Linked DNA regions of Caenorhabditis elegans. The protein of the gene in region 2 interacts with the protein of the main gene of each other region in a pairwise test. Each region holds a gene or a part of one and is shown on either strand. Other genes may lie near its edges.

The links.
Region 1: the proteins of pas-6 (region 2) and brp-1 interact in a two-hybrid assay, tested with the Caenorhabditis elegans proteins (3 studies listed by BioGRID).
Region 3: the proteins of pas-6 (region 2) and eif-2Balpha interact in a two-hybrid assay, tested with the Caenorhabditis elegans proteins (4 studies listed by BioGRID).
Region 4: the proteins of pas-6 (region 2) and mthf-1 interact in a two-hybrid assay, tested with the Caenorhabditis elegans proteins (3 studies listed by BioGRID).

The regions. Positions count from the first base shown.
Region 1 is NC_003281.10:12,018,959-12,025,867, forward strand, and holds brp-1 (uncharacterized protein), read left to right. Parts: upstream 1-1,593; coding exon 1,594-1,671; intron 1,672-2,358; coding exon 2,359-2,538; intron 2,539-2,595; coding exon 2,596-2,841; intron 2,842-3,185; coding exon 3,186-3,632; intron 3,633-4,570; coding exon 4,571-4,778; intron 4,779-4,831; coding exon 4,832-5,022; intron 5,023-5,909; coding exon 5,910-6,218; 3' UTR 6,219-6,363; downstream 6,364-6,909. Other genes in the region: Y79H2A.12 (Serpentine Receptor, class BC (Class B-like)), read right to left, coding at 6,601-6,710.
Region 2 is NC_003283.11:5,582,640-5,585,947, forward strand, and holds pas-6 (Proteasome subunit alpha type-1), read right to left. Parts: upstream 1,705-3,308; 5' UTR 1,696-1,704; coding exon 1,546-1,695; intron 1,500-1,545; coding exon 1,307-1,499; intron 1,258-1,306; coding exon 1,187-1,257; intron 1,138-1,186; coding exon 1,008-1,137; intron 958-1,007; coding exon 719-957; 3' UTR 522-718; downstream 1-521. Other genes in the region: CD4.11 (MAM domain-containing protein), read left to right, coding at 2,543-2,588, 2,914-3,205, 3,253-3,308. UniProt on the Caenorhabditis elegans protein: The proteasome is a multicatalytic proteinase complex which is characterized by its ability to cleave peptides with Arg, Phe, Tyr, Leu, and Glu adjacent to the leaving group at neutral or slightly basic pH.
Region 3 is NC_003281.10:9,541,331-9,544,939, forward strand, and holds eif-2Balpha (Translation initiation factor eIF2B subunit alpha), read left to right. Parts: upstream 1-1,788; 5' UTR 1,789-1,811; coding exon 1,812-1,926; intron 1,927-1,978; coding exon 1,979-2,244; intron 2,245-2,307; coding exon 2,308-2,489; intron 2,490-2,548; coding exon 2,549-2,750; intron 2,751-2,798; coding exon 2,799-2,951; 3' UTR 2,952-3,074; downstream 3,075-3,609. Other genes in the region: Exonuclease mut-7, read right to left, coding at 1-764, 836-1,025; ZK1098.9 (uncharacterized protein), read left to right, coding at 3,121-3,262.
Region 4 is NC_003280.10:7,773,398-7,779,698, forward strand, and holds mthf-1 (putative methylenetetrahydrofolate reductase (NADPH)), read right to left. Parts: upstream 4,427-6,301; 5' UTR 4,353-4,426; coding exon 4,270-4,352; intron 3,109-4,269; exon of another isoform or gene 2,974-3,108; coding exon of another isoform or gene 2,954-2,973; intron 2,900-2,953; coding exon 2,825-2,899; intron 2,775-2,824; coding exon 2,402-2,774; intron 2,345-2,401; coding exon 1,607-2,344; intron 1,560-1,606; coding exon 1,146-1,559; intron 1,097-1,145; coding exon 942-1,096; intron 898-941; coding exon 744-897; 3' UTR 511-743; downstream 1-510. Other genes in the region: C06A8.6 (U2A'/phosphoprotein 32 family A C-terminal domain-containing protein), read left to right, coding at 1-101, 158-316, 367-468; snpc-1.1 (snRNA-activating protein complex subunit 1), read right to left, coding at 5,999-6,194, 6,248-6,301.

The DNA.
Region 1 (6,909 bases), on a different chromosome or scaffold from region 2:
ATAATAAAATAAGTAGGCAAGCGTAGGTGGGGGGGGGGGGAGGGGAATACTGTAATTCTGATCGGAGAATATTTAAAATTGTGGCAACCACATTAAAAACCGATAATAACTTATAATAGGACAAAAATAATTTGGAATATACCGTATTTCCTCTTTTAGTTTTGCACCCCTTTGCTCAACTTTGACAGCTCATATCTCATTTTGTTTTGAACATATAAATAATTAACAAACTACAAACTATAGAAAAACATCTCACAAAAATTTTATCAGTTGACAACTTTTCTATGGAACAAAGAACTACTGAGATATGAGCTGTCAAAGTTGAGCAAGCGGGTGCAAAACTAATAGAGGAAATACGGTATGTATCGTAAACTTCTGTATATACATACTTCCCTGTTAGTGTTGCATGTATCAGGGTTGGGCGGTAAATAATTTTTCCGCCAAATTGGCGAATTGCCGGAATTGAAATTTTCAGCAAGTCGGTAAACCGGCAAATTGCCGATTTGCCGCATTTTCCAGAAAAACGGCAATTGTCGGACAGATTGTGGTTTTGCATTTTTTTTTTGTTCGAAATTTCGTGTTTCACTATCAGTCTCATAAAAAAGCCCTCTAAAAACTTCCGGCAAATCGGAAATTTGCCGAAAATCGAAAATTCCGGAATATCAGCAAACCGGCAGTTTGCCGCCCACCAATACTAGTTCTAAATGAATATTTTTTAGAGCAAACGGGCTTTTTCTCACCAATTTTTTCGTTTTAAGACAGTTCTCGATATGAGTTTAACTAACTAAAAATCACAAAATTTACAAAAAAAATTATTATAACTCACATTTTTTAAAAATCATGCAGAGCGCTAAAAATACCAAAAATCATACTAAAACATTTCAAAAAAATGTAGACATTTTTTCGAAGAATCTGCAGCATGTATGAATATTTCAAAAATAATTAAAGCATAAAACTGGAATCAGAACTTTTTTTTTAACTCAAAATGAAAAATGTTCCGAAATTATATTAATAGCTTTACTATGATATTTGTTCATTTTAGGCCGTACTCCACCTTGTATGCAGGCACATTAATATTTATAATAAGAGAAAAATAAACCCTCCGCATTTGAATTAACACATCCTACCTATTTTTACCTGAACCATCAAACTTTGTATATTATACTCTGCCCTTAAACCCTTGCTGCAAAAAATGGAAAAGAAATCAAAAATCAAAGTATCCTTTATCATTTTAAAATTTTTCACAGAAATCTTTATCATCATCTGATCGAGATTTTCTGGTCAAAAACAAAAACGAATGACGTCATTCCTCTCTCAAGTGTACAGTAACCAAGTGGCCGGCTATTTTAAAAACTCGTTTTGTGTGTTTCTTCAAAACTTGGTGTCACTTCCTATCAAAACATCGGGAGATCATTTTTTGTTCATTTTCCTACACCGCGCGGAAGAGTCGTGAATGCCAACCTGTCAAAAATGTTTAATGCTCCGCGAGAGAAAGTGAGCCGCTTCTCTAATTCTCCTATTGTGCGCATTGATCTCTTCTCTTTTTTTTGTTTTTGTCTTTTACTCGAATATCTAATCAAGAATCATTTACAGATGACCAAACTAGGCGCACAGCCCGGCGTTCACGGGAGTGAGGACGTTGAGAAGGAGTCTATCAAGATCGATCCAAAAGTGAGTTTCTATTAAAAATATTCAAATTTTCTGAGAACTGTTTTTAGTGCGAAGTTCAAATTTTCTCATAAAAAAATTTCAGCTGGAAATTCGAATTTTTTTTAAGAGATCACGTTTTGGCGCGAATTACAAATTTTATGAGTAACAAGTCGTAGTGTCAGAGTGTCCCATTTCGGCTTGATCTACATAGATCTACAAAAAATGCGGGATTTCAGACGCAGGCTTCTCAGCTGATTTCGCATGGTTAAGAACATGGCTGACGTCATGTTTTTTGGGCAAAAAAGTTCCTGCATTTTTTGTAGATCAAACCGTGATGGGGCAGCCCGGCACCACGTGTAAAAACAGTTTGCCTCGAAATTCAAAATTTTTCACAAAAAAATTTTAGCTGGAAAATCAAATTTTCTGAGAAAACGTATATTGGCGCGAAGTTCAAATTTTATTAGAAATTTTTTTGGCGCTAATTTAAAGTTTTATGAGAAAATACATTTGACTCGAAATTCAAACTTTATGAGAAAACGTATTTTGCCGCGAAATTTAAATTATCCGAGAATAATTTTTGGCGCGAAATTCAAATTTTCTGAGAACATTTTTTGGCGCGAAATTCAAATTTTCTCACAAAGAATATATTCGGTAACAATAATAATAATAACGTTAGTAGAAATATCAACAAAATCTGAATTATTCCAGGTGTTCACAGTCCTCCAGCCCACAGTGATCCCAATGCCGGCTCCACCAATGAAGCCTGCTCCATCGCCAGCTTTCCAGGCGATGAGAGCATGCTTCCATTGCATGTTCTTTGCCACGTGTCTTTTGCTGGTGACACTCATCGGTTTCTACTTCCTCGCCGCTACTCCTGATCTCTTCAAGGTACAGGGTTTTTTTTTAATTTTAAGCTTTTTTAAACTTAATTAATTGATATTCCAGAAAACCGAAACATCCGTGAACAAGCCACAAATGGAGGCACTTCTAGCTCAACCAATTGATGGATCATCTGAAAAGACTATAAACTCTGCGGAAAATCCAGGAATGATGGCAATTCCCTTGGCTCGGGTAGTTGTAGTGGAGGATATTTCGAATAATGAAGGTCAAAAGAAGACAACTGTTGATGGATCAGTTGAGGAGAAGTCCTCTACCAATTTGGATCGCCCACTTCATCCAGATGAGATTGAGGTTAGTTACCAAATTATACCATATATATACATAAATATGGATTTGTATATATATATATATATAAATATATATATATATATATATATATATATATATATATATATATATATATATATATATATATATATGCATATGTAGGGCTTCCATAGACAGGCGCGGTTCCAGGGCCTGCCTGAAGGGAATGCCTACCCGCCTCAAGCCAGCTAAACTGCTTTAAAAATTTTAGGCCATTTTTTGAGCTGCCATAACTTTTTTTTCAAGAGGTTTTTAAGAAGTTTCATTAAGAAATTCGATATTTTCAGACAATTTTGAGTCTAATAAATCAATAAAAGCAATTTTTTCAGCAATACCGAATGATGGAGGCCCGCCAACAATTCCAACAAATAATGGAGGAACGTATGTACATGCAACAAATGATGGCAATGCGAATGATGAGAATGAGAAGACTTCAAGCCGCCTACTACCAACAACAACAAATGAAGATGGCCTACATGCAACAACAACAGCAACAGATGCAGGAAGAGGCCGCCCGTCAGCAATGGGCCGAGAGATCCCGCTATGAAGAGGAACAACGTCGTCAGTACGAGGCTCAACAGACCTATGCTCAACAGCAGCGTGCTCAAGCTTTCTGGCAACAACATCAGTTGGAGATGCAGGCTCAGACTCAGCAGGCTCAGGCCCAGGCCCAATGGCAACAGCAGGAGCAACAGCCACAGGAGCAGCAGAGACAGAGATTCTGGCCAAGACCAATGATGCATCAGCAACAATGGGAGAGACCAACTGTCTGGCAGGTAAGGCGATTTGTAGATTTTTAGATGATGGGCTACGAATTTTTTGGCATTTGGATTTTAGACACATTTTCCATTTTGAAAAATTTGAATTTTTGCTTTTTTTTTTCATAATTTTTTTCAAAAAACTTCGAAAATTTTTCGTCGTATTTGGATCAGGGGTGGGCGGCAATTGCAGTTCGGCAAATTTTTTTTGAGTAAATTGGCAACTGAAAATCGGCAATTTGCCGGTTAGCCGATTTGCCGGAAACTTTTGATTCCGGCAACTTGTCGGTTTTCCGGGAATTTCCAATTCCGGTAATTTGCCGATTCGCCTGAAATTTTCAATTCCGACAGTTTTCCGATTTGCCTGAAATTATCAATTCCGGCATTTTGCAGATTTGCCGGAAATTGTAAATTTTGGCAATTTGCCGATTTGCCGGAAATGTTCAATTCCGGCAATTTTTAGATTTGCCTGAAATTATGAATTCCGGCAGTTCGCCGGTTTGCCGGAAATTTTCCATTCCGGCAGTTTGTCGATTTGCCGGAAATTTTCAATTCCGGAAATTTGTCAATTTGCATGAAATTTTTAATTCCGGCAATTTGCCTGAAATTATCAATTCCGGCAGTTTGTCGATTTGCCGGAAATTTTTAATATCGGCAATTTGCTGATGTGCCGGAAGTTATCAATTCCTGCAATTTGCCGATTTGCCTGAAATTTTCAATTCCGGCAGTTTGTCGACTTGCCGGAAATTTCAGTTCCGGCACTTCGCCGGTGTGCCGGAAAATCTTAATTCCGGCAACTTGCCGATAAGCCAGAGATTGTGAATTCCGGCAATTCGCCGGCTTGCCGAAAAAAATCGTTTGCCGCCCACCTCTGTTTTTTGCTTAGTTTTCGGGATCTGAAACCGATAAAAATTTTCACTATTTTTTTTGTCAAAAAACCATCAAAAAAATTCCAGCAACCACCCCAACAATTCTTCTTCCCATCCCAACAACAACAGCAGCATCAGCAGCAACCACAACAGACCCAACAACCTGAGGACCGTTTCCCACAGGCTCCACAATTCTTCCAACCAATCCCACAACCATCAGTTCACGATAAGATCTACGAGGAACTTCAGAAGAAGTCGCAGAACATTCCAGTCAACGCACCAACTCGTCAAATCTGTTAGTTGTTTTTTTTGCAAAAAGCCCAAAAATTTCAATTAATCTTGTATCAGGGACAGCAATCACTCCAACTCCAGCTCCAGAAGCTGCATCTGGAACTGCTGACGTCACAGCTTCACCCATCAACACTGCATTCCCAGCAGTTGTCACGAGCAGCACACCAATGCCAGAGGATGCCGCTGAGGTTTCTGATACTATTCTCAGAGATATCTTCTCAGCTTTCGATGAGCAAAAGAATTCAGAGGTTTGTACATCAGGAACATGTTGGTTCGGCAAATCGGCAAATCGGCGAATCGCCGGTTTACCAATTTGCTGCCGATTTGCCGGAAATTTTGCCGATTTGCCGGAAATTTTCATTTTCGGCACTTTGCCAGTTTGCCGATTTGCAGGAAATTTTCTATTTCGGCAACTTGCCGGTTTGCCAATTTGCCGAAAATTTTCAATTCCGGCAATTTGCCAATTTGCCGGAAGTTTGAGTTCCGGCAATCTGTCGATTTTCCGATTGACCGGAAATTACAATACCGGCAGTTTGCCAATTTTCCGGAAATTTTCATTTTCGGCACTTTGCCAGTTTGCCGATTTGCAGGAAATTTTCTATTTCGGCAATTTGTCAAAAATTTAAGTTCAGGCAATTTGCGGATCTGGTTCCAGCAGTTTGCCGATTTGCCAAAAGTTTTAATTCGGGCAATTCACCTATTTGCCGAAAATTTCAATTCCGGCTCTCTGCCGGTTTGCCGAGTTGCCGGATATCAATTTGCCGGAAGTGTTTAGAAAGATTGTTTATTTATATATAGTCGGCACGGTACAATTTTGCCGACTAATATTGTAATTCTGAAGTTCTGAAATTGCCAAAAAAAAGTGCAAAACCACAATTTGCCGGAATTAAAATTTCTGGCAAATCGGCAAACCGGCAAAAATTTGAATTTCAAAAAGGCAAGTGTTTCCGTCTTATAAAAAATTTCTCTAAAAATTTCCGGCAAATTGATGTTCGGTAAACGGCAAATCAGCAATTTTCCGAAAATCAAAATTTCCGGCAAATTGACAAACCGGCAATTTGCCAAATTTGCCGAACGGCAATTTCCGGCCCACCCCTGTTTTGTGCTCACTGAGGCATAATGAGTAATATTCCAGGCGGCCAACAAAGAGCTCAACTCAGCCACCCCATCAACCACCGAAGAGCCAGAACTCGAAGGAAAGGGAGCAATTGTGATTGAGGACAGCTTCCCAAGAATCGAAGAACGCACCACAACACCTGAACCAATGGAATCTGAAGAAGATGCTGAACATACATCATCTGAAGATAATCATGAGAAGGAGTTGGATCCATTCGCAGCTGTTCTCAAATTCTTCGAGAACAATCCACCACGTGAGGCTCTCGAGGCAGCAGGGGCTGAGACAGCAGCAACCACTCAGAAACCATTGAAACCACTGATTGTTTGAGAATTTTAATTTTGAGCTGAGCTAAAAAAAAATAATTTTCGAATGTAATAATTGTTATACAATTCGTCCTCCCCCGATTATTTTCCATCATCATCATCATCCCATCTTTTACGCGTGCAGGTTTGTAAATAAAATTATTCGCTGTTGAATTTGTATTTGCAAATCAAGAAAAAAAAAGTATTTATTTCAGAACGTGTGGTGTCAGAGTGTCCCATGTTGGTTTGATCTACGTAGATCTACAAAAAATGCGGCAGAGTTCTCAACTGATTTCGCATGGTTAAGAACGTGCTGACGTCACACTTTTTTTGGCAAAAAATTGCCGCATTTTTTGTAGATCAAACCGTGGTGGGACAGCCTGGCACCACGTGTTTCCAAGGAACTTTCAAAACTTCATCACATTTGTTAAATCCGACTGTCTAACCAGCATCCCATTCTCGATTCGTTTTGCATAGACGTAACATCGATTGATTAGAATGAATTTGATTATTGATACTGAAAAATTTTTAAACAATTTTTCGCTTTAAATTACAGAATATACGCCTAGAATATATGACCAAATATGACTGTGAAAATTTTTTCAAAAATGTCCTAAACTTTTAGTGAATTTTTACATATTTCAAAATTCATAGAAACGACCGAATTAAATTTGAAACATTTGAATTCCCGCGCAAATGAGTGACGTCATTTTCGA
Region 2 (3,308 bases):
CACACACAATGGTGTCGGGCATTGATTGTGGTTCGCTTGGGAAACATTTTTGGTTTTGCTCGTGATCATAATAAGCAAAACCGCTTGTTAGAAAAACAACTTCCAGTAGATCCGTAAATCCTACTTCCCTTTTTTACCTATTTGTGGATTTTTAAATGAAGAAAAATGTATAAAAATTGTCAAGAGCTCCAATCGAAAAACAAAAAAAGGCAGAAGTGGGTCGAAGAAAAGAGTTGACTGCGACAAAGAAGATTTCAATCTCAATTCGACGAAATTTGAAACTCTTCTCTCTTGCATCACACACACTCCTCCCCTTCTTCTTCTTTTGCTCCCCTTTCTTCGCTGATTTACAATTTGAGTGATGTAGTAGTGTATGGAACACTGAAGAGAAGAACTATGGAATAATGCCGTGGAGCAGCTCGCCGGGGAATAGCGGAAGACGGCGGGTGCGTGGTGTACTACGGCGCAGACATCCATCATTAATGGACAGAAGGCATGGACGCGAATGACGAGAAGTGCTTCCTTTAATGTTCTTTCTGCAACATATACATGACTGTTGAACGGAAAAAGGAAATTAATATGTAATCAATCTTTTGGAGCAGGAAAATAATTTAATTCGGGAACGAGAGGGAGATTAACCGGCGATAAATTATACGGGTCACATAAAAAAGAAATGGAGACGAAAGTAATTCACATGGTCTGTGATTCAAATTAGAATCTACATTTGCATTGGTTCGGCGCCACCTGGAGCTGCTGCTGCTGCTGCTCCGCCAGTTGTGCGTGGATGTGTGGAAACTTGGTTGAGATGAACGGCGACTTGAGCATCTTCGAGAAGACTGAATGGAGAATCTTTCCCGACAATTCCAATAGACGTATTCTGAGCGTTGAGGTTTTCTTCGGCTGGAAGTGTGTCGCGAAGAGCAAGGAGAGCATGGACAATCAATTGTTCCGGAGTTGCTGAAAAAAGAAATTGCTCAATTTTATCAATTATATTCCGAAATAAATACATTTCTCGAAGTTATCAACATTTCTCTCGAGGTAAGTGCGCGCAGACTGAGATCTTGCTCCGATTGAAGTTCCATGCATGCTGACGACTTCAGCAGATGGGTCAGTTTGAATGATGTGTGCTCCATCTTTCTGAACAAAAAAATATTTAAAAGAACAATTATATTTATGATGTTCTTACGTCATATCCGGCAATCAGAATTCCAACTCCGAATGGACGACGGCCATAATATTGTGTATTGGCTTGAAGTTCTGAAATAAGAACAATGTCTTGAGAAAATTGCTTCCAAAATTCGCTTACTCAATTGCATAGATTCAGCGAGCTTCTTGATTGGAACCGCTTGCTTGTAATCCCAACGCCAACTCGAGCACTCGGTTTGGAGGTAGCGAGCCAAGATGCGACCATCGGAGAGGAGACCAGCGATGGAAACTCCAGCGTGAGTGTCAATTTCGTACACTTTCTTCTGATGAGACGACAAATCGTTTTGCGCTCTCTGAAACGAATATAATTAATTGAAATTAACATGTTGTTTCGCCAACCTTCAGGGCGACGATGACAGCGTGGGTTTCACTCTTGATTCCAACAGTTGCCGAACCTTGCTTCATCGCCTCAACGGCATATTCGACTTGGTGAAGACGTCCCTGTGGGCTCCAGACTGTTACATCGCCGTCGTATTGGTTGCGGAACATGGTTCAAACCTAAAAGCTCTTAATTACAATTTATTGAAGTTTTTAGCCATTTTTTGCAGTTTTATAAGCAGAGAGTGTGATTCAAGATGAACCAAGAGTTAGAAAAACATATGGAGTTTATTTAAATCCACAGAAACAAAGAAAAAATATTTAGAAGTCGAAAGAAAACCTCTGAAATGAGTTCTAAATTTGAAAGGATGACAAAATAAGCGAGTACGCATACACCACACTTTACGCGCAATTGCTTACCGTATACCTGGCGGCAAAAAGTGAAAGAAATTTCCAGGCATGGAATTCCATGGAATTATGTAATTCTTCTGGTGAAAACTGCGTAAGATCCTCAAAATAATTTCGAAAAAAAGACACTCAAAATCCACGAAGAGAACTGTGAACAAGTAAATATTACACGAAATTGAACGAAAATTGCGAAAACGTGATTGAAAACGTCGAATTAAATTTTGAATCTAATTTTTGAGGAATTGAATATTTAAAATTTAAAATGTTGTCTACTGATGGTGGTGGCCGATTCCCTGACTTCAATATCTTAGAAATTCCTGTTTAAATCTGGCAAGGCTATACTACAAAGCTCTGTCTTTGAAAATCTCTAGTTTCATTTTTCAATCATGTCTATTGAATAATAAATATCTTTCCTCTCATTCACTTTTCTTACCCACTGACCCACTTTCTCTTGTGACTCTCGACAGTGAAACACCGTACCTAATTAGGCAATTTACCAGTAGTTCATATTCATTCTCGGGAGTACGCAATACCACACGCTCATTGAACTTTGAGAAAGGCGATTTGAAATCGAAATTTATATGTTTTCAAACTATTTTCTTCATGAAGTATGGTACTTAATATATATGTCTTGATATTGCTACTTTATGGTTTGAGTGAGTTTTTAAAAAGTTTTGGATTTGAAATCTTTTTTTCTACCAAATTTTTTCTGTCCTTTTTTATTTAAAAAATCATGAAAATTTGTTAATGGTCGCTCTTGAGGTTATTCAAAATTTAAAATTTAATTTTTGGGATTTTAGAAAAATCGCTCATTTTGTAGGGCTTTTTCTATATTGAAAATTGGAACACGGATTAGAACCATTTTGCGTCTAAAATGTAAAAATGCAAAGTGCGGCACAGAAAAATAGGTGTGGTTTAGAGACAAAAGCGCGGTAATTCAAATCAAAAGTTTAGCTAGATATGACCTTCAAATTAATTCAGATACCAGTTTTGCTTGTCACTCCCTGAGCTCTCAGTACAGTCAATTTTCATCTCGAAGAGCCAGAGCTCGCGGAGTCTCATCCCTACAACGTACAAGTGAAAATGCAATTGACTTTGACTACCTCACATCAAATCTACCGTACTCCGCAACTGAAATTCGTTCGATCTCATCTCTTACCCCATTTCCTGTGAAACCAATGCTAACTGTATCCGACGGTGGAAAGCTTACATGTCATTTTGACGATGATATGGAATATTGTGGATGGCATAATGCAGCGGACACTGACATGAAGTTTTTTTTTTCAATTTTAATAGAATTTCAAAAATTACTATTTTTAGATTCTGGAAATCAAAGTTAAACTCAGATAATAATTTTGACTCGCAAAGATTTGACT
Region 3 (3,609 bases), on a different chromosome or scaffold from region 2:
ATCTTCGGCTTTGGTAAAAGTTTCAACCATATGCTGGAAATAGTTGTCATCGGATTTTCCCTTCTCGTATCGTTCACTGATATTAAACTTCAATGCCTTCAGATTCCCATTCTGTGAGTGGTTTTTGGCGAACTTCGACAATTCCCTGGAGAAGTTGTATTCGTGAGTATTTTTGTTGATAATCGTCGAAATGAGTTTGTCCAACGTTTTTCCCGTCAATTTCTCCATAGGAATCGTCATAATTTTGGTTTCCTTGTAGGGTTTCAGCATCTCTTCAACGGCAACCACTGAGATTCCAACCATTCGATCAAAAAACTCTACAAGCTGCTGTTGCATCCTCTCATTGTTACTTATCAATTTATAAGCCGTTTGATCTTTGCCAGATAGCATTAATGGAAGAACAAGATGTTCGAAATGATGATCCCGTAGAAGATTGTACTGAATAGCCATATCTGCAGCAACGGAGAAGTCTTGTTTCTTGATGGCAGCATCTAGCAACTGTGTAATGTCCTCAGTGAATTTCTCTTTGGTGATATCGAAGATTTCACTGAGAAGCTGCTTTTGTCCAATTGTGCACACATCTAAGGCGTTTATTTGAATAGTTCCAGTCAGATATTTCTGTCTGAGCTCCGTCTCCTGTCCCGACTCTTTTAACCAAACTCCAAAATCCTCCAGATACCAAACCGCCAAACTTTGTCCCGATGTTTTTCCTCTATCCGGCATCGCTTTCATCATATCCACAGCCATTCCGTAGATGTTGACTCCTTTAAATGTATAGATTATGAATGAGGGTTTTTTAAAGTTTTTAATAATAAAAGAACTTTAAAATGTTTACCTGATCTATAGTCCTCGTTGAAAAATTCTCGATTTTTGGCTCGAACTTTTCTCTCCCGCTCAGACTCGGGTCCATTCATAATTGCTTTCAGAACTTCCCGGCGTGACTTCAACGGTTCGGCGTAGTCTGTTCGATATTTTGCCTTTTTCTCGGCTTTCGTTAGCTTTCTTTTGTACGGTTCTTCTTCCATTTTCGAAACGGACAAGCTTGATTCTGTAAAAAGTATAAATAAATATTTGTCGAAAAGTTAGTACAAAAGAAATTAATCAAAGAACAAGGAAAACGTGTTTCCCCACGAGAATTCGTATTACGGAGAGGAAAATCTAGAAACGGCCCAAAAACCGAAAGAACAACAGAAAAGCGTTGTGGATTATTCGATATCCAGCACTTTTTGCACAAATTGAGGCAAAAATAATGGAAAAAGAACCAAGAAATCAATGAACAAAATGGAAAATGAATTTTTAAAAAATTGTCGATGGTATTTAAGATGTGCAGGTTAGCGAATAGTACTGTATCACGGCGGCGATTCAAATGATCTACGAAGCAATTACACGAGGAAAATTAATGGAGATTATGGAGCAAATTGAGGGAATTAATTATAGTATAAAAGTTTCGAAAAGGAAAATTATTATTTATTATCCTATTTAGTTCGCCACACAATGGGAGATTTTAGATGCGTAAATAGTTGAGAGTAGAAAGTAAACTGACTGACTCAAAAAATATGTTTAAAATGTTTATTCGAGATTGAGAAAATAAATTAAATTTCACGAAACCTTTTAAATACATAAGTAAAAAAATGTTTTGTTTTTAAATTTGCCACTATCAAAACTGTCTAACTCTCTAACTCTTATCTTCTCTGCGTAACGATAGAGCGCGTTTACATCATTATTTTTTCATTAAATTTTTTCTATAAATATTTCTTCTTTCTACGACAAACGTTCTCCATTATTGTTTTTGCAGACTTTTTCCATCTAACATGGTTCAAGAAAGCATTATTTCATCTTTCCGTGGAAAACTTGAAAACGATCCAAGCAAATCAACGAGTCTAGCCACAGTGGAAACACTGCTCGAGGTTTTAGACCGGAGTCGCGGTAAGTTCCTGAATTTGAATATTTAGGCAATTAATTTTTTGCTTAATTACAGCCACCACCGTTGCCGAATTTCAAAATGAGCTAAATCAAGTAGTTGCTGCTCTCGAGAAAACGGACTACAGCTCAACATCAATTCGAAGTGCCGCTGATTTGTTCACCAGATTCACTTCTCTGGCTCCAGCTGCTCTTCTCGATCAAGAAGATTTTTCTCAAGTTCTTGATCTGTATCGCCAACGAGCACGCTCATTTATAAAGAATGTCAGAGGTTCTCGAGCCAAAATTTCCAAGTGCGCTCGTCTATTTTTCACTCATCATATGGTACGTTTTTTTTTCTATTTAAATAATTCCTATTTAATGTATTTTAATCTTTGTATTTTCTAGAATATTCTGACACACTCATACAGCAAAGTGGTTCTGGAAACTATTCTTGATGCTCACAAAAGTGGATATCACCTTCATGTCTGGGTCACCGAATCGCAACCGGATGCTTCAGGAAAACTAGTGTTTGAAGAATTGAAAAAGAATGGAGTTCCAACTACTTTAGTTCTAGATAGCTGTGTGGGGTGAGTGGAAATTATAAAAAACAATAAGAAAAACGTATATACATTTTTTATTTTTTAAGATATGTCATGGAAAGAATTCAAGCAGTTCTAGTTGGCGCTGAAGGAGTCATGGAAACCGGTGGAATCATCAATAAAATTGGAACTGTTAATGTTTGTATCATCGCAAAATCACGGCATGTTCCCGTCTATGTTTGCGCTGAAACTATCAAGTTTGTACGGGAGTTCCCACTCAACCAGGCCGATATTCCCCAAGAATTCAAAGTAATCAATTTATATCAAATAACTCAATCAGATCTTTCATTATTTCAGTATCGAACATCAGTAATTGAGAGAAACAACCTAGAATTGGAGCATCCCGATGTGGATTACACCGCACCCGAATTTCTGACACTGATCATTACTGATGTCGGCGCAATGAAGCCTGAAGCTGTTGGAGAAGAACTCATTAAAATGTATATCTGAGGGTAGAAATTTATTTGAACGTGTATTTAATTCAATCAAATTAAATTAATTTGTTCTTGTTTTGTTTTTTATAATTATGATTGGTTTTTTTCTTTTACAAAAATAAAAAATAACGTGGAACCCAAAACTATTCATTTCGAGTTTTTAAAAACGCTCATTCATCAAAAAGATGAGTGAAAAGCACTTTATTTTGCCATCTAGCATGCTAATGATAGTTTCGGCTGTCTTCGGAGGTATCGGAATCATCACTACAATCGTGTTCGTGATTCTGACAGTTCTTCATTCAAAAAGTGCGGTTTGTAAACCTGCAGGTTAGTTTTTGTTGCGAAATTGTGCAATTTTTACCCAGAAAGTACGGTTCCCGGTCTCGACGCTACAATTGTTAAATTCTGAAAGGTGTGTGCCTTTAAAGTGTACTGTACTTCGAATTTTTAGACTTTTATTAGTTTTTCGATATTTAAATATTTATTTATTTATCTGAAACTATGAAAAATCGATGCAAATTCCATAACAACGAAAATCTGAAATTACAGTACTCTTTAAAGGCGCACACCTCTTTGGATCTATCAAAAACTTTGCCGTATCGAGACCGGGTATCGTATTAGCATGACGAAAATCGCAAAATTATCTGGATAATATAGTAATGCTGAAGAATAAA
Region 4 (6,301 bases), on a different chromosome or scaffold from region 2:
TTCCTCTTGAAATTCTGGATTTCAATCAGAATCGTCTTGAGAAGGTCGAGAATATCCATCAATTGAAGACACTTACAGACTTTTGGGCAAGAGGAAATAAGGTAATATAGATCATTTGATTACATTCCATAACTAATCAATTCTTTGTTAATTTTAGTTGGATAACTGGAGCATTATGGATGAATTGGTTGAACTTCCACAACTCAATAGTGTTTACCTCGATTTCAATCCAATTGCATCAGTGGATACTTATCGTGGAAAGGTTATTCATCTCTTGCAACAAATTACTCGTCTTGATGGAACTCAGTGCCGTGAGGTAATTTAAAACTTAATTAAATTAATCTTCAATTTGTTTTTTAATTTCAGCATTCGATGCTCCGTCCACCAAAAGAAGAGAAGAATGAGACAGAGCTTTCGCGTGTTGTACTTGATAATCCGTCTGATGATCATCCCACTGAGTCCGTCTAATACTTGAACTTTAGCATTTATTCAACTAGATGAAGATTTCTTGATTATTGATATTTTATTAAACAAGGAAGCCGGAAATAAATAAAATAAAAGAGGGAGCGATTTTGAATCGGGGGTTGTTGAAGCTAAAACTTAATAGGGTAATACTGGTAATAGAGAATAAGGGGAAGTGTCCCAACCAATGGTGTATTTCATCAACGGAAGTGAATATCGTGGTGGAAAATTGAATGAATTGAAATCAGACGTGTCAAAAAGTCAAATTAGTTTGATGATTTTTACTTTTTCAGCTCGTCGAGGGCCTTTTGAAGTACGTCGAAAAGAACTGATGGCTTCTGGAAGTCGTTGTCGACGAGAGTAACCAAACGGAACTCATCATGAACAGCCTTGATGACTCCATATGATTTAGATTCTTTTGGATAAAAATCTCCCCTAAAATTAAACAATTAGACAGAACGAGTGATTAGATACCTTACCATTGGGCCATCCACATTTGGTAAGCTTCATCTCTCCATGCGCGGAAAGAGAGTGGATCGACGACTGTTGGCTGGGCAATCTCAGATCCTGGGAATACTCCCCAAGTAACTGCAATCGGAGTGGTTTCTTCGCTGTTGGTCTTGTCGAAGGTACTCTGAAGAAGAATTTATTTTATGGTTTTTAAAATTACTTTTTAAACATACATCCTTATTGATGGCATGGTAGTTAACTCTGACTGGGAATTCTCTCTCGATGATTTGAATGAGCTTGTCGGACAACTCCGCGGTCATGAAGCATTCGAGGTATGCCTTTTGGTAGCAGTAACCTCCTGGTTTTCCCCACCCAACAAGTGGATCAGTGGATGGAGCTCCATTAACTGATGGCTGACTGTTGACGGTCAGAATTCCATTCTCATTACACCAAACAAGTTGTTCACTGATCAATGAAGTTTCTGGCTGAACACCAGTTTCAGCTTCTGTCCATGGAAGTACAGTAACCTTGACGCCATCGGCGTTTGGAGCTTGAGTAATGTAGTTGATGAACACGCGCTTGACGTCTTCAAAACTCTCGATGTTGGCTCCGAACATAGCTAGACGGTCATCGGCGTTTCGAACAGTCTGAAATTTTATCTGTGAGAAAGTTCTAACACAATCTTTGAACGAACCGTCAAATTAGACAAGTAGTAGCTGCTGACATCTCCAAATGCTGGCGATGAACTGTTTCCCCATCTTCCGTTAGGGAATTGATCCCAATCACGAGTTCTGGTGATGTAACTGCGTGGGCGGAAACTCCAGTAAATTGGACGAACACTTTCCAGACATCTGATAGGATGTTGCGAACGATTTTTCCATGGGAAAACACGATCACCCTCGAGTTTCCAGAGACCAAGAGATTTGAGAATTTCACGAATACTTCCTTCACGATTCATAGTGTATAGATGGATGGAAGGGGCAGTTCCATTGTCAAGAAGACGGCGGCACATTTCAATGCAACGCTCTGTTCCGTACTTTTGAACAGCATCATCATCGTGCTTGATTGGTTCGAGATCATCAAGAATATGTTGTGGAATCTCAAGTTGTGAGAGTTTGGCAATACGTTTGATAGACTCATAACCCATAATTGGCATGATTCCCGGAATAATTGGCTGAGTGATTCCAATTTCACGGCAGTCGCGCACAAACTTTTCGAAAGTTTCAGCCTCAAAGAATAATTGAGTAATGACGAAGTTTGCTCCAGCATCACATTTTGCCTTCAAGTACATAAGATCAGCTTTGTAAGACGGAGCTTGTGGATGTCCAAGAGGATATCCTGCGCAACCAATTGAGAAGTAGTTTCCATATTCTTCGCGGATCCAGCGGATCATATCAAGTGCACGGAATTGATGGGTATCTTCGAGCTCAGTCTAAAATTGAAAAATATTATTTAATTTTTTGACAATCTTGTTTCATGATTAACTTACGCCCGGTGGGAGATCTCCTCTCAAAGCAAGAATACTTCTCAATCCCATTGCCTTGGCTTGCTCGAGATGTTTCAAAGTATCAGCTTTATTGTATTGAACACAAGTCATATGCAACATAGTGTCGACTCCACAATAATCAAGCATTGAAGCAGCAATCGAAGACGATGAAGTCACTTTATCGACGTTAGCTGGATCACTTCCCATATGCCATGTCATATCGACAAAGACGGATCCACCTTCGGAAAGACGTTCAACACGCTCTAAGAAGTTTGGAACTCCATTGACAAATCGAGGTGGGAAGAATTCAAGAGAGAAGAATTGTTGTTTCTCATCGATAAGACGTTCAATTCTCTCGTGAAGAAGTTCATAATGCCTGAAATATAAATTTGTTTAGTAATAGCTTTATATCTGATCAAAACTTACTTTGGTGACCAGCTCTTTCCAGATTCCAGAGTTATCTTCTCCTCGACAACCGCATTCTCATCGGTCTCAACACCACTGAAATTCAAAATATTATATTATTCGATCAAAAAACCTGAATCAACAACCCACTTTTTACTTAAAACGGCCATTTCAACTAGAGTCTCCGAGGAAACAAAATTTGTTAGCGACAAATGAAGAAATGTGGCAAACAGGATTCTAAGGGCGGAGTGTTATATATCTTCTCCAGAATCATCATGTGATTCGATATGAATCTCGGGAGAGATCTAGGAACGTAACAATTATGATTTGGACAACTTGTTCTTTGATACTGACACAGTAGGAAAGTACTTTTTTTCAAATTTTTCAGAACTTCGGAAAACAAAAAGCTGATGTTGAACTAATACAGTGCTACATCGAAATAATAATTCACTATCATCAATGATATATTAGCTTTTTCTTGTTTGAAATTTCGGATCGAATAAATTATTTCCCTGTATTTTTCCTTGGAAATTTCTTGCTTGGTGTCTTTTGTTCCACTTAATAGAGAGATACTGATCAAATTGTCTCCTAGAAGGCAAGAAAACACGGTTAGATTTAAATTTGATAGATCAGTATTCGATCTTTTCCGAGTGCAGAGAGAATAATGTGTCGCAGAGGACTAACAAACTTTTTTCTGATAATAGACACGTTTTGTACTCTGCCGTGTTCACCTTCATTGATAAGATATTGTGGGGTGATAAGAGATGAAATCATTAGCAACGATAAGTAATTACTATGTTTCTAAAAGTCAATTAGCTCATTTTTGAAAAAAATACTATTTGTGATTCAAAAGGTTGCAACTTGCAAATATTTTGGACAATTCTAGTATATAAATGCACCATGTTTCTCCGACATTTTTCGTTAAAAATTAGTTTTAAAATATAGGAAATCAATCGATTTAGCTGTAAATATAGTTTACTTCGGATGATAATTTTGAAAAAGTGCTTAAAAATTACTTGGAAGTTGCAAATTGCCGATTGTCGAATTATCAAGCTTTGTTTTTCGGTAATTGGCAACTTTCAGGTCATTTTCTGCATTTTCTCATATGTTTCTTTTTTTTTAACTAAACATTCTAACTTTAGCCATAATCAGCGTGCTTTTTTTTTGAAAATTTCAAGTTCTTGAAATTGAACAGAAATTGTATTTTTTTTTTGAAAGGTTTTCACTCTCAACAATATAAAAATGCCCAAATCACGTGAATATCAATGGTATCCAACAGTTGACACTGATAAGAGATCAGTTTGTGATCGCAGTGGGACAAATGGGTGGTAGACATGTCTTCTGATAAGATAGAGGTCAAGTAGGTAGAATTGGTAGAAAGGAGGCATATTTCAGTGCTTTTTTTAAAAGCATTTTGAGACATAAAAAGATGCTCTAAGTTTAGAAGATTAATATAAAGAACCTACCAATATGGCATTGTGGACAGAGAATCGATCTTCTTAATGGTTCCATGAGATTCAATAACTTTAGTTTCTCCAGTATTCGTCATTTTCCTTGGTTCGTTTTAACCGTAGTTATTCTCTGTCGGGAACCACGAATCCGTTGTTTGATGAGATTCACCGACTGAAATTTGCTCGTATTAAGTCCGATTCTTTTATACAATCAGAGAAAAGGGCGGAGCGTTAAGGTGGCAAACGGTTGGTAAATTGGAAAAAAGAGAAGTCATAGAACTATCAATGTCCGCTAAATGTTCTTAATCTAAGCAAAAATGACAAGAAAATGAGAAACAAACGTGCTTCTGGCATAAAACCACTTGTTTTGTTCAATATTTATATAGAAGGAACATAGCATGCTGGGTCTCTCGTTCTCTCACTAAAGCGTTCGTCGTGGCACTCAGTGCACTTTTGCATACATGAAGCAATACACATTCTCAGCGGGGCGCCGATTCCTTCATAGAAATCGGATTCTTACAAAAGACAAAAAAGATAAATCGAAACATTTTTTGAAAATAGCGGTATTTGAAGCAGAAAAAGTGAGTGGGGAAGTCTTTTAATTTGATAACAAATGAGTATTAACAATATTTTGGTGCATGATGACCTGTGAACGATTTGGTTGGGTTGTTATCGGGGCAACAACAATAATGTTTTGCCAAAAATTTGCCAAATAGTTCAACGTGGAACTTCTCTTTGTTTGTCTTATGCAGTGATGTTTATATGGAGATGCCAGTGCCATGTTGTACGGTACCTGACACGATTAAAAATATGTCAACAAAAACAAGTGTACGCCTTTAAAGAGTACAGTAGTTTCAGCAGTTTGCTGATTTCTTAGTTTTTTATCGTTTCCTGTTTTTTAAGCTTCAATTTTTAATAAACAGTGAGTGTGAAAACTAAGAAAAATTGAACAACGGTACTCCTTAAAACCGCACTCCTCTCCTTTCACTGAAAATTATTGGCCGTTTCGAGACCGGGTACCGTAATTTTTAAACAGCGAAATTTAGCATTTAGGTATTTGCTCTATTATTCAACTTTGAAAATTCTGTTGTTTTCTCAAAACAAAATTTTTTTTTTGTAGTTTTTATAACATATTAAATATTTTCTGATATCTGCAGTCATATAAGTTATTTGGTGCAAGAGTAACTGAGAAAATACGGATGCGTTCTAGAAAAAAAGGATAAGTAAGAAAGTCGTAGATAGTTACTATTTGATAGTATCTCAAGAAAGAATGGGAAACTAAGCAAGACCTTGAACTAATCGTCATTTGAAGAGAACTTTAGCATAGTACGTTTTCAAACGAAAACCACAATTTCTCAATACTGCCTTCCCATCACAAACGAAAATTTTATCCTATAGGATTAAAACCAATTTTCAGTAGAACTACAACAAGATTCTGAAAAGTGCACTCAATGCTTTCACGAATGGGCTACAGCACAAGATGATAACTGTATGAAATAATCATGTAATGCACGATATCAGGCCATTTCAATTGGTCTTTTGCGGCGATTTATCACTGGTGATAATTGGAAGTTGGACAGATAAAAGTATAAGATTGAAAAGATTGAACCAACAGAGATTAATAAAATAACAAAAGTCGGAGATGATAGGCAACTCAGCAGCAAATTTAATTTAATTTTCAAAAAAAAAATTCATGTAGTATAATTTTCATTAAAAAAAATGGTTAGCAAGGAAAATGAAATGATTATGTTTCTTCGTCTTCAATAACTTCCAGCTTAATTTGACTTGTCAACTTTTTCAAATGTTTATCCGTAGCCTCGACTTGTCCATGCCATGCGTGCAGTTTGTTGGCCCATTCATCACTGATTCGAGGTTTCACTTCAACTACGCTGGCCGATTTTCTGTTCTTCTTGTTCGCAGGCGATGTGAATGATTCGTCACTGAATAATTTAATAATTTTTAATTGAAGAAAAAAACAAAAATCTTCACTTACATTTGGGAAGCAGTTATCGGAGCAGAAGTTTGTGGGATTTGTTCTCGTTTCACT